3 linked regions of the Drosophila melanogaster genome follow. The protein of the gene in region 3 interacts with the protein of the main gene of each other region in a pairwise test. Each region holds a gene or a part of one and is shown on either strand. Other genes may lie near its edges.

The links.
Region 1: the proteins of CG3847 (region 3) and RpS7 interact in a two-hybrid assay, tested with the Drosophila melanogaster proteins (one large-scale study listed by BioGRID).
Region 2: the proteins of CG3847 (region 3) and CG12496 interact in a two-hybrid assay, tested with the Drosophila melanogaster proteins (one large-scale study listed by BioGRID).

Annotation. Positions count from the first base shown.
Region 1 is NT_033777.3:30,206,028-30,210,959, forward strand, and holds RpS7 (ribosomal protein S7), read right to left. Parts: upstream 2,994-4,932; 5' UTR 2,890-2,993; exon of another isoform or gene 2,631-2,889; coding exon 2,463-2,630; intron 2,399-2,462; coding exon 2,066-2,398; intron 2,013-2,065; exon of another isoform or gene 1,871-2,012; intron 1,857-1,870; exon of another isoform or gene 1,718-1,856; intron 1,604-1,717; exon of another isoform or gene 1,466-1,603; intron 1,432-1,465; exon of another isoform or gene 1,295-1,431; intron 1,265-1,294; exon of another isoform or gene 1,129-1,264; intron 1,086-1,128; exon of another isoform or gene 949-1,085; intron 900-948; exon of another isoform or gene 756-899; intron 695-755; coding exon 611-694; 3' UTR 503-610; downstream 1-502. Other genes in the region: Anp (andropin), read left to right, coding at 3,958-4,053, 4,116-4,193; CecA1 (cecropin A1), read left to right, coding at 4,921-4,932.
Region 2 is NC_004354.4:2,408,863-2,412,885, forward strand, and holds CG12496 (uncharacterized protein), read right to left. Parts: upstream 2,040-4,023; 5' UTR 1,935-2,039; coding exon 873-1,934; 3' UTR 503-872; downstream 1-502.
Region 3 is NC_004354.4:6,345,332-6,349,790, reverse strand, and holds CG3847 (uncharacterized protein), read right to left. Parts: upstream 2,689-4,459; 5' UTR 2,287-2,688; coding exon 1,144-2,286; 3' UTR 555-1,143; downstream 1-554. Other genes in the region: ND-B16.6 (NADH dehydrogenase (ubiquinone) B16.6 subunit), read left to right, coding at 1-95.

The DNA of each region.
Region 1 (4,932 bases), on a different chromosome or scaffold from region 3:
CTTTGCCAAATGAACGAACATGCAGTACATTCAAATATGGCGGTTAATAAGCTTTTAATGGGGTGTTCCATGTCGAAAAGCTTTCTCTTTCCAAAAATGAATCAATCCAAGAAACCCACACCCTTTCATGTTGCTACCACCAACAATCACACGTGATTGTTCAAAAGGCATAATTACATGGTATGCAAATGGGAGGCGCCAAGTGGAAAATGTAGCCACAAGATTAACCCCTTTCGCCACACGTGCGAGTCTTGGAAGAACATACGTCAACTTTTTAATTAAGCAGTTGAGCAGGCATCAAATGAATGGCGCTTTCCGCCATGTAATAACCCCTTTTATGGCTGCCCTTAATCACAACATGTGACATCCCTTCCCAGCAGGATACTGCTCCTTCAAAGGATTAAAGTTCGAACGAATGTAGCGAGACTCAGGAAACTTTGCGCTTAACGCTGATTAATTACAGGACAACGGAGAGCGAGTTGGCTTAATTGGAAGTTTGCTTAGTTTTAGATTGTTTAATGTTTATTCACGTTCTCTAGCTCATGTAAAAAACTCATATTCCCAGATGAACCGGCGAACCAGTGCTACTCTCGAACGAGAACCCGCCGCTCTAGACATTCAGGTAGTTGTCGGGGAATTCGAAGGTAACATCGCGACCAGTCAGCTTCTTGTAGACCGAGGTGAAGGTGTCGACCTGGAGAGATAAATAGAGAACGTATTAGTTTACACGATCAGAGGAATTAACTTATTTATTGCAGTGTACAGCACCGCAACCTCCGCTGCGGCAGAAAATACCGCAGCGAAGATATCGTACGGTAGGCTGGATTAATCTTCCGCTTATATAGGAAGTCCCGAGGCCCCAGGAAACTAAACGGCGCTCGAGAGGCAAATAGGCGGCACTCAAAGTGCATCGTGTGTGTTTTCAGATGAGTAACTCTAAATGTAAGGTGCTGTTGCAATCCTTAAGTAATGATGCTGTCCTGGCAAAGTAGACCCAACATTGTGGAGTGATTCGTTGCATTACTTTGCGTTCTGTTTGACGATCGCTGGACTTGAACAACGTCCAGAAAATAACACAAGAACGGTGATGGAAACCAAAGTATTCAAGGGCTAAGTGTTGATTGACATGAATGTGGCGCATATAGTAATGCAGTAGCCGTTGAGAGTCGGCTCAACATTGTGGAGTGATTAGCGGCAGTTAATCTACGTTCTGTTTGACAATCGCTGAGCTTAGGTAATCGCTTAGCGAATAACACAAGAACGGAGTTCACAATTAGCATTCTCGTGGATATTCAACTGTAGCAATCCTTTAGTAATGATGCAGTCCTGGTAAAGTAGACCCACCATTGTGGAGTGATTCGTTGCTTCAGTTTGCGTTCTGTTTGACGCTCGCTAGGCCATGAAAAGATCTAGCGAATAACACAAGAACGGTGGTAGAAACCAAGGTATTTAAAAGATTCTACGAGAGTGTGGCGAGCCGAAAAGTAATGCAGTAGCCCTGGAAAGCCGGCTCAACATTGTGGAGTGATAGCCGCATTAATTTACGTTCTGTTTGACAATCACTGGCTTTGGATGTAACTTCCAGCAAATAACACAAAAACGATAGAAAGTTCTATGTACATTTAAACATATAATCTTTCTATCCATCTGTTATCCCCCTTATTTGACTTTTCATTCTACTGTTTAAATGGTTTCAAGTATCGATTTGAGTGTGTAATGATGTGGCGAGCCGGAAAGTAATGCAGTAACCGTGAAAACTCGGCTCAACATTGTGGAGTGATAAGCTGCCATTAATGTACGTTCTGTTTGACAATCACTGGCTTTGGAAGGACAGCCAGCGAAAAACACAAGAACGATGTATCAAAAGACCAACTGTGGCCAATATTTGGAGATGCAGGACCGCAATGGCTTCTAATGCCTGCAATAACGAGTAATTGGCCCTGACTGTTCTGCGTCCCCTGGCGAAGATTGAGCTCCATGGCACGGAAGGCCCAAATATCGAGGGTACGCGCCTGCTAACACACACGATGCACTCTTCTTTGAGGTGGAGGATGCTTATGCTTACTTTGTGTTCAATGGTGGTCTGCTGGTTCTTGTCCAGGTGCACCTTGACCAGCTGGGAGCCGTCCAGCTTGACGCGGATGCGCTTGCCCACAATCTCGGCGGGGAAGACCAGATCCTCAAGGATGGCGTCGTACACAGCGGTCAGAGTCCTGGAGCGTGGACGCTTCTGCTTGAGGGGGTTGCGGGCCTTGCGCGTGGGCTTGGGCAGGATCTTGCGCTCCGCAATCACGACGACGTGCTTGCCCGAGAACTTCTTCTCCAGCTCGCGGACCAGGATGATCTGGATCTTCTGGAACACCTTCTGCTGTGGAATGGGCACGTAGATGATGACGGCCTGCGTGCAGAGTGGGTTACGGATTACTATTGAAGGCTCCACATGTACGCCATATACTGTTTACCTTCTTGCTGCCGAACTCGATCTCGCGGGCACGGGTGATGTGCAGATCGCGCAGGTAGGGCTTCAGGTCGCTGTTGGCCTCGAGTTCCACCAACGCCTGGGCAATGGACTTCTCGAAGTCATCGGGATCCGAGCCGCCGGGCTTGATAATCTTGGAGCCGATAGCCATCTGCAATGTTCATCACCGGTATTTTAGCTTTCGGTTCAATTACAAACACAAAATTCGCTGCGGCAGACGCTTCCCCACAACGCAGTACAATCACAAATCGCCGGCAATCGGCGTTATTTCGCCAGCATTTCTCTGGATTCACAAGAAAATCGTAATTTGCCATTATCATTGCGGCCTTTTCTCTTATTATTTCGCTGCACTGCGTTGTGGCGACCGCGTATTTTGGCCATTTTCGGCGACGGAAGAAAAAAAGTACCACCTTTGTCGACTATTTTGACAGGAAAGGAAGTCGAGCCACGACGTAGAGGTGGAAAACAGAGCGAGTTGTTATCGATGAGACACGCGCGAACGTTGTGCGATACTATCGATACAGTTGCAGGAGCAATTACTCGTCGAAAATACGAGGGATGGCTAAATATATAAAATTTAACATTATAACATAACATCCATTCAAGAAAATTTGATTATATTTCTTTGAAGTGTTTCAGCGTTTTAATGTTTTGCGTGTAAAAATCGATAGTTCTCAGCAAAGATTGTGTATAACGAATTTATGAGTTAGCATCGATAAGTTTGTATGCCACTATGGGTTTATGTTTGGAAAAACTTTATTATAAAATTTTTTTTTAATAAGTTAAGTTGTTAGCCTATAAAATTAAAAAAATTGTTGTATGAACAATATAAAATGTTTCTTTGAAAATATATATCGATAGGTTCGTTTAGGGTTATCTACCATGCTTCAGCGGCGAGTATCACCACTTATGTTGCGATTAAAGCCCCACAGGGGGCGCAATTGTTACCACATGTAACGTTTTTTAAAAAAAAGTAATTACACAGATTTTGGATTTTGGAATGGATTTCCATAAATTAGGAATTTAATGAGATTATTAACAACATAATAAAAAATATTAGTTATTGCCTTAAATATATGTGTAGATAATATTTACGCAGACATATTTAATCTTTTCAACGGACATTTTTAAGTTGATAATATTGATAATATAATATATGTAAATTCCAGTGCCATTTGCCGTATGAGTTTTAACCTACAGAATTGTAGAACTTAATTACTATAGAACACTATTGAATGAAAACTTAGTAACTTGTTGAGGTTTTTAGTAATTCCAAGAAATATGCTCTTGAATAAAAAACCTTTTTAAGTCTCTTTCAATGCAAAAACACGAGTTCTTTTTTTTTACATATTGTAATTAATATGTTTAAGGTCTAATTATTATTGTAAACGTTTTTCGGTGGGTTGATTGCCTATAAAGCCACTTGTTTTTCAGTCTAAATCATCAGTGTAAAATTCGGAAAACCCAGCGATCTAGTTATGAAATACTTTGTGGTCCTTGTCGTCCTGGCCCTCATTTTGGCCATCAGCGTGGGTCCTTCGGATGCAGTATTTATTGATATTCTTGACAAAGTGGTTTGTTTCTTCTTTAAACAATTGTAGTTTACAATGAAGCTTAAACATTTGTATTTCTACAGGAAAACGCAATACACAATGCTGCTCAAGTGGGAATTGGCTTTGCTAAGCCCTTTGAAAAATTGATCAATCCGAAGTAATTCTGCACTGCAATTTAATTAATGTATCGTTTAACGAAAATAAACACAAATTTTAAAATCTGAAAAACAACTAAGTTACTAACGCAAGACTTTTAGTTAAGTTAGTTAATATAGACCGAGATGTATGTACATACATACCGCTTTCGCTTACAATAAAATGTTAAATAAGTTTTCAGATTCGTACGTGCTCAGTAAACAATTATTTTTTATTGTCATTTAATGCCTATTGAATTTTTCAAACTTAATTTAGTGCCTTTAGTAAAATATTGTAGTGATTCCCCTCGAAAAATACCACAAATTGGATGCGTTTATGTAAATAAATTGCCCTTGAGTGATAGAGTAAATTTGAATTTGACTGTCTTAGAAAGATAGAAAGAGATCAATTCAAAATGCCAAAAGGATAGAGTTATTAAAGCTCTAATTCAAATTGGCCCAGAACCGTTTAAAGGATATTACAATTTGTAATTTACATATTTGGATTATAGCATTGAAATCCCCGATTGTTCCCTAGATGTGCAGATGTGTGCTTGGAATCAGATCGGTTACCTTCAGTGTACTTTTCTCTGCAAAAATCCCCGTGCATGCCTTATCTGTCATTTTGTTTTTCAAGCTGGCTGTTCGCCTATAAAAGCTCTCGCCTTTTGTATCGCAGTCATCAGTCGCTCAGACCTCACTGCAATATCAATATCTTTAGCTTCTCCTAAGAAAAAATCAAGAAAATATCACCATGAACTTCTAC
Region 2 (4,023 bases), 3.9 Mb from region 3:
ATTCCCAGTTCCCAACCTGCATCGCCGTTGTTTGTTTTGGTCGCCTGGAAAAGCAAAGCAAATCGCTTGGTCAAGCAACTGTGTAAATATATGTTGTACGTATCGGCAGGTCAAAATGCAATCGGCACGAGCTGGGATATTGCGTAGGTGACGAAGGTCACCGCAGATGTTTCGCATTCATCAGAAAACTCGATGCGATGCTATGGCACAACAAAAATGATATTTGTTCGTATCTCGAAAATAGTTCAGAAACCAACTATAAACCTAACATTTAAAGAGTAGATTCCAATGGATACATGAGAAAACATTTCTAGACTATGAAGATAGTCTAGTCTTTTTCAAATATCACCATTTTGAAATCAATACAATCCCATATCCCTATATTGGGCAGTACGCATGGAAGTAGCCAAAGTTACTCAAAAAAGCGACATTAATGATGATAAGCTGATATATAAAGTTTTCCCCGTTTCAAAAGAAAAGAAAAGTGTACTCCATTGTTTTTGATTTAATGCTTTTATTTTGAAAAAATAATTATTTGGGTAACTTAAAGTAGCAATAAATATTCATATTTGTTTAAAATTAAATAATGAAAAAAAAGGTATATTCGAAAACTACATAACAGCAGCAAAAAAAAAAATGGTTATATTAGTAATTGGAATAAATAGTGATTAAGGTGGCCTAAGAAATTATGTACAGTAATTGAAAGATGATTAGTTTACGACTTAGGAACTAGTTAAGCGTCATAGTTAAGCGTTTTCCCCCCGTTTGTCAGCGTTGCTCGCTTTCTCGTCTCCATCTTCATCTCCATCTCGCATTTAGTTTCTCTTCTCATTTTTGTGGCTTTCCGAGGATCTGTTTGAAATTACCTCTGCTCAGACATATATAGACGAGGGCAGGGCCAATCCCACCTCGAAGTAATTGCGCTCGTCGACCTTGTAGCGCTTAATGGGGGACTCCTTGGCGACGATCTCCTTGCGGGTCCTCTTCAGGGCCTTGACTGGAGTCTCCAGGCAGAAGGTGTTGTCGCAGGGGGCAGACTTGGGGGCCACTGGAGTGGCCAGTTGGACAAGCAAGTTGTGAGGAATCTTGGCCAGGGGCGATGCCGGTTCCGGAGTGGGCATCAGGTTGTGCATGGGCAGGGGAACCAGGCCAAAGCTCAGATCCGAGGCCGGATCGTCTCCAGGTGCGTAGGATGGCGACAGCACCTCCTGGGGGCAGTTCGACTCCATTTGCTGCTTGACCAAGGTGCGTCTGCGCAGATTGAAGGTGGACCTTCTCGGCTTCTTCTTGCTGCTGGCGTTCGCCTTGCAGGCGGAATCCAAGATGGCATCGATTAGGCGATCCAAGGTCTGATCACCCATCTGCGTGGAGGCGGGCTGCGGTGTGCTTGGACGCACTTCCACCTTGGGGGTGGGTGGCTCTGGCACTGCCGTCTCCTGCAACTCCGGCTCCAAGGTGGCCACAAAGTCCTCGTCCAGTCTACGCTGCTTGAGTTTGTTAACTCCTGCACCCGAGCCTACAATATAGCGCGGCTGGCCCAGAAAGGGATCCAACGGAGCCAGGCCCCTCAGCGCCAAGTGCTGACCACTGGGCAGTCCGTTGGGCGAGTAGTCCTCGGCAAAACGTGGCAATGTGGTGGCGTATCGCACACTCTGTACCCTTTGGGGCGCCTGACTGCGCACCACCGCCTCCGGGGTGACATTCCGGATATCGCTCAGCGGCGCCAGGACCAGGGGACTGTTGCGCAGCCGGGTAATGGGCACTGGCGTGGAGGTGTAGCCCACGGTGTCAGGCACGTTCTCCTTGTTGGCAATGGTGGCCCTCCGCTGACGGCGCTGCCTCCTCTGCAGCCTCCTCCTCTGCGGCTGGTTGGCATCCTGATCGTGCACGGGAATCTCGTTCAGGCGCTGCGCCGATGCCGTCCACTTCAGCATGTTGTGTGTGGTTCTGTTTCTGCTGCTCCTGGTGCACAAAAAAAAAAGATGTACTTCTAGACTCTGCTAGTCTTCTGCTCTCGACCGCTCTCGCTGACAAACTGAAGCGGTACGGGGAGCGGGCTGCGTTTTATACCCGCTCGGCGCTCAGGGGTTAATGGCTAGGGGTTACGGGGCTAGGGGTTGTTGCGCAAGAGGCACCCCGGCGGGCAGAAGGACACTCGCTCTCTCCGGCGTTCTCTCCTTGGATGAAAAGACTCTCTTTGGCCAACGGATGTGTGTGGTAGCAAATTGTCTTTGGATCTCGAGGAACTTGAGCAACAAGCTCGAGGATATCAGCAGCTTAGCTTAGAATATGAAAGTATGATCTCTATGCCAACGAGATCTGATATTTTGATGGAGGTATTGGAGGTATTCGTCCTTTCCCACAGTTCGCAGTACCGGCCGAGAATCACCCACTCCAATCCAGGCACTCATCCACAGCACCACCACACGAAAATGACATCTAGATGTCTATCGGCCAGCGCTTGGTTATTAAATTTGCTTTCATTCCCCTCAAGGAAGTCTGCTTCCTTTCGCCCTTGTCTCCCCCTCATTTGAATGGACATTTAGAGCAGCAACAGGCTGGAAAATAGTGAACGGAAAAGGGAGAAGGGAAGTCAGGTTGGCCGGCTAATTAGCCGATGCCAAGTCCAACTTCCTGGCCGACAGCTCCTCGTCATTTTAGCCACTTGTCGTAGCGCGGTATCAGTATTAATTGCGGCTCTTTAGCGGCCGCAAATGCAATTTATATACTCGGCGGCTTTAATTGAAAATGTTTGCCACTTCCGGAAGGAAGCATTAGAAAAACGTTACAAACTCTGGGAAAAGTCCTGTGCAAAGCGTCAGTTGCTCACCCAACAGGGGAAAAGTTTGTACACAGTATGCATTATCAAATTATCAACTTTTTAATAAGTGTTCTTTCTACAAATAGATGGGCCTCATGCAATGCAAATTCACAACTTGTATGGATTTAACTTTGAAATGTAAATGTAAAAGGAAATGGTTCCCATAACCTTTGTAGTGATCTATATTTTAAAGCACAGCCGCTGTCCTCCATATGAATATGAAATATGGAACCAATAAGTAGATTATATTTCCGATGACAAGATCAAAGATAACTGCCCCCATATGTGGCTCTTGACCAGCTGTAGATGAAGTGATCATCGAGATCCCTGAGTGATCTTCAAGTGATCATCGACCAGCGATCCTAAGTGACGTTCAAGTGATCGGCGCTCGTCATCTCCTGGACTTGGATCACTCAAAGTGTCCGTGACCGACGTGGCTTGCTATCTGACGTTCTGATCTAGTTCAGCATGTAAAGGCATCTTTGAATGGGTTCTGGTCCCCTGGAGATATCTTTATTTGCGATCGATTGCTGAAAGATTTTCGCTAACGGGGATCGTATATTTCGCACGTTATCCTTTTCGGCTTTTTTGTGGTGAAAGTCGTTTTGTTTCATATGTTTTCATGTGACTATCTTCCGATCGGCTTTCATCCTGGATAGGGACACAAAAAGGGTGCTGGGGTAGTTAATCGATTACCCCGTTCCATCCACTGAAATGGCGAATTTCTCAACTTTTCAACTCTTTTTCAACGTTTACTTTGCGAAATGCGCTCCTGCTTTTGCTTACTTTTTACCTCTTTTCCCTTCGATTTGCCCTCGTTATGTCCCCGAGTCCTTCGATTCTCTTTGTGGCGCTGAGTTATTGCTGTTTACACAGCCGCACAAAAGGATTAAATGGGTTTTTGAGAGAGTTTCCAGCGCTAAGAAAGGATTCCGGCATGTTGATTAATATGATTTAACGAGCATCCTGCCTAACAAGGCGTATCCCGGCTAGTCTTCACCGGCAATTTCCACACAAAATTACCATAATCCTCGCATTTTCTGCGGTTTTTTTGGGACACAACGAAACACAAATGGATAAAGAACCACACGAAAACCTCTCAAATTCAATTTGAATTTTCGGCATTTCGTGTGCGACGATTTTACGCTTAATTAACGAGCCCAAGGACCCTGCCTCAAGGACAGCCCGAAGTCACGATCCAG
Region 3 (4,459 bases):
AGGATACCCTGGTCACGCCCATTTTCAAGGAGTTCTACGCCCACTCCGACTGGAAGTCGTACGCCAAGCGTGCCCACTTGAAGCTCTGGTCCTAAATCGGCCTAGTTAATGGATTAGTTAATGCCTAAGCACGCACCTTTTTGTTTGTAGATCATCCGCCTAAGCGCCAAAAAAAGAAAGTATCGACCAATTATAATGTCAGATCAGATTGGCTGAAATACCGATTCTCTTTGTGTGTGTTTAATCCAAATCCTGTGCTGGACCACCCGAGGTAGCCAGAGATTTTTACCAAACCGGGGGCGTTGCCGTCCAGCTGCAATATAGCCCACGGGCAGTGCTCAAAAATGGCCAAATTAGATGGATTTGGTGGCACCAACAGCGGGGAATCCCAGTTGGCTGTGTCACCAAATTAAAATCTAATTGAAAATCTGCTGCTTAGTAAAAATAATAAATTCACAACATAAAACACTACGAAATGCTTATGATTCAATAGGGATTATTAAAATAGCAATGAAGAAATCTTGAGCCATTGAAAAACATTCTTGATTTATTTTATTTTTATTTTTTATTGAATTCAACATCGATTTGACGCTCGTTTTGTGTGTCAGTATTTGGAGTTTCGGGTTATTACACAATAGCGGGTGATCGTGAGCTCTAACATTAAGTAGTCGTAATTATAAGTAAGTAATATATATCTATACATGGGCCATGATCGACATCCGTCGACATGCTTTTATCTTCAATTGTAAACCGCAGAGTTGGCCTGAAATCATATAAAAAAAAAAACAACTGTGTGTGTGGATTTGTGTACAACTAGGTAAAAGATAAACCCTTTCCTTTGGAATCGCTTGACGACAGTGGCCCCCGTTGTGGCTCCCAAAAAATACAATATGGGTGTGGACTTATGTTTGCGTGTAGATAAACAGCAGCTGCTCCTTTCTCCTGGCCCGGGCGGCTAGTGTCCGAGTTTTGCATGGGCGAATCATTAGAAACTAGCTCGTGCTCCAGCTAATCCTACTGCTCCTAATCTACGTACTCCTGCTTGATAACAACGTAACGCACTGGCGGCGGCGATTTCTGCTCATCACGCTCCGGCTCCAGCTGCTGCCGACGCCGCCAGTGCTCATCACGTTGTGGCCGCCTCTACTTCATGTCCCTTCGACGCTTGATGCTGCCATCGCAGGTGGGCAGATGGCGCTGTAGGAAGCCCTCGAAAACGAACTTGCGGCCGCAACGTACGCAGCTGAACTCGCGCTTCTCCTCCACCTGCTGCTTGTGCTGCCGCAGTGCCTCCGCATTAGAGTACTTATCGCGGCAGGCGTCGCAGGCATAGCGTCTCTTCACCTGGCCAACATCGAAGACGACGGTGAAGTTCTGCGAGCAGAAGGCGCACTGGAACTCCTTGACGACCACCTTCTTGCCGCCGTGCTGGGCGGCCAGGGCCACCGCTTCGGCCTCGAGCTTGTCCTGGTGCTTGTGCGACTCCATGTGGGCGGTAAATTTGCTCTCCTCGACGAACTTGCGATAGCAGCGGGTGCAGCGGAAGGGCTGCTCGCCCGTGTGCCGCATCATATGCTCCTTGAGGTAGGCAACCGAGTTGAAGACCTTGCTGCACACTTTGCACTTGCGTTCATCGGTGGAGATCTCGTTCCTCTGCCGCAGGCAGGCGCGCATATGAAGCTTCAGGGAGCCGGCGGCGCTGTAGCAATTGCCGCAATTGGGACAGTAGAAGGTCTTGTTGCGACCATACGGATCTTGTTCGGCATGGTCGATGGTACTCTCGAACACAATAGAGCCCACCTCGTCATCTTCAACCTCCAATTCGCCGCCCTCGTGGTCGACGGTGACAAACTCATCGTCATGCTCTACCTCCTCGCCATCCTCGAGCTCTTCATCCTCCTCGACCTCCTCGCCATGAATATTGGGCACAATATGAAGGATGGTGTGTGTACCATCGCCCTGTTCGATGGTCTCCTCCTCGACGGTGCTGTTCTCGACCAGCTCCTGCAGGGTCACCGCGTGACCGTTCTCATCGATAATCACCTCCTCGGCATTGACCAGCGCCTCGTGGTCACGATCGCTGAGGGTCACCACCGCAGTTTCGGTGTCATCGTCGTCGCCGGTGGTATAGGCATACGTATATTGCGTCTCCTGGCCGTCATCTTCTTGAACGTGCTCCTCATCCTCCTCGGGCTCCTCCTCGGGATCAACCTCGGTATCTTGCTCGATAAGCACGGGCACGATCTCCTCCTTCACCATGGAATACTTCACGCGCTTGGCATTCATATCGAGTTGGCTTTGAATAAGTTTTGATCACTTACGACCTGTTTTGGCAAAATCTGAAGATCTGAAGATTTCACAGTAGCCTTTGATTTTCCTACTTTAACAATATGATTTTTTCCCGGCGACAACCCTGCTTTGCCTCTGCCTTTGCCTTTGCTTTTGCTTCTCCCTCTCGCACTCGGCTGACGCGCTGTCTCTTTCGCACGGCTGGAATTAATATTGAAATCAAATTCGAGCACCTTATGGCCCAGCTGGATTCGGTACTCAATCCCCGCCTGCTTTATTGCCAACTTCTTTTTGGCGGCCTTTCGCTCTGGGTTTTTTCCACAATAGTCAACACTATGCGTTTTGCAATTATTTGCCGTCCGTCACGATTCTACTTTTGTGGCAACTTCGGCCAAGATGGTGGACACTGGAAGTGGAGCTGCATGCGGTCTGGCCCGCCGCGTCAGCGATTTTTTAGTGCGTTTCTCGCATTTGGTATTTCCCGATGACCGCCGCCTATCGGCACTGTAATCGGCGCTGTTATCGGTAGCTTCCGACAAGCTGGCAGCGCCGGCCGCTTGGCGCGCATTTTGAACGCTGATCTCAACGTATTTTTGAATTTAAAAAAATACAAAAAAATTAAATTCTAGATGTACTTTCTTGTCAAAGTACGTTTTTATTTTTATTGGGATGTATTCGTATGTAGAAAATATAATGGATGTGTATCAAACCGATCATTTAATGCCTGTGATATGTATCTAAGTGAAACTACTGCTGGGTGAACCCCCTTTAGCCCCATATCCCACTGTATTTTCAACGATTTCAAGACATCAAGACGTGCCCTGTCGTGAGGAAGATGTCAGGGAAATGGGCGAGATTATTTTCGCCACTGCATTTGTCACGTCGCCAAGCAATTTCTGCTTTCGGCTGCTCAATGGTCATTAAAAAATTTGCCAGCGCCTCAGCGAATCTAAAATTAGTGCTGCTATATGTGGAATTGCACTTAGAGTTTCTTTTGTTTTTCATGGCATTTCTATTAGCGGACGTGTCACTTCTTTACGCCCCCCTACCCCCACACCTCCAAAAACGACCTTGAACCAATTATCGCCGATTGACGAGCGATCGGCGCTGTCGGAAAAGCTCGTAACTGACTTAGCCGATTGCCAATTGAAGATCATTCAACGAATTCCCATGAATGGAAAGTTTTTGCTTCGTTAACCCTCTAACTACTGTATTTATCCTACATTGCATTATTTCGAAAAGAATACAAGACTTTTGAATACCTTTCGAATTTGTATACTAAAACTGATTATAATATTTAATATTTAATATTATTGTGAAATCAGATAGAACAATCATCTAGATTTAGTTCAAAGATACCGGCATTGAAGGTTCTAAAGTATCTGAGTAAACAAAAATAGTAACATGAAGTGGAAAAGGGTTAATGACGCACCATCACTTGAGCACCAAGATTGCAATCAAAGTATCCCAAGTCAATTGCGTCAGTGGAGGGTACAAAATTTCAAAGTTCTGTATTTATTACTACATGGGGGTTCCGCTGCCCATCCAATCATCAATTTCTGATCTCTGGAGTGGGTAAAAAGTACATTTGTAGATAGATGTATGTATGTAAATGGGAAAATGTGACCGATTGAGCCCAACGTGGCAATCACGTTTTCATTTAGATGAACGGGTGCCACTCACCAATTGCATCAGAATAAATTACGGCTTAAAAAGAAGGTTATACTTCATATTGTGTTTTTATTTTACATCAAGAGTTATGGGGAATCTCAAGTTGAATGTGGTGGATTTTTAGTTAGTTACTACCAAGAATAGGTGCCTTTGAATCGTACAAATATGACGTGTTTTTTTTGTCAAAGGAACATGTATTGCATTCACTGATAAGGATATTGTGGTAGGTTATAGTTTCGGCTTATCGTGTACTTCCAGTGAAACTTTGCAGTTCTACAAATTTCTACAGTAAACTTATCGAGATGCTATGGCAATACATACATACGCGAAGTGTATACTTACGTAAGCACAAGTTTCCCGAATCTTCCATCGTCCCATCCATTTGAATTTCAAGTCTGAAGGAAAACACTGGGTTGAATACCCATTTTATCCGAAAACGTGCTTTTGAGAAGGTCTCAGTTTGGCTTATCAATGTTATGGCTACTTTAAGTATCCAAAG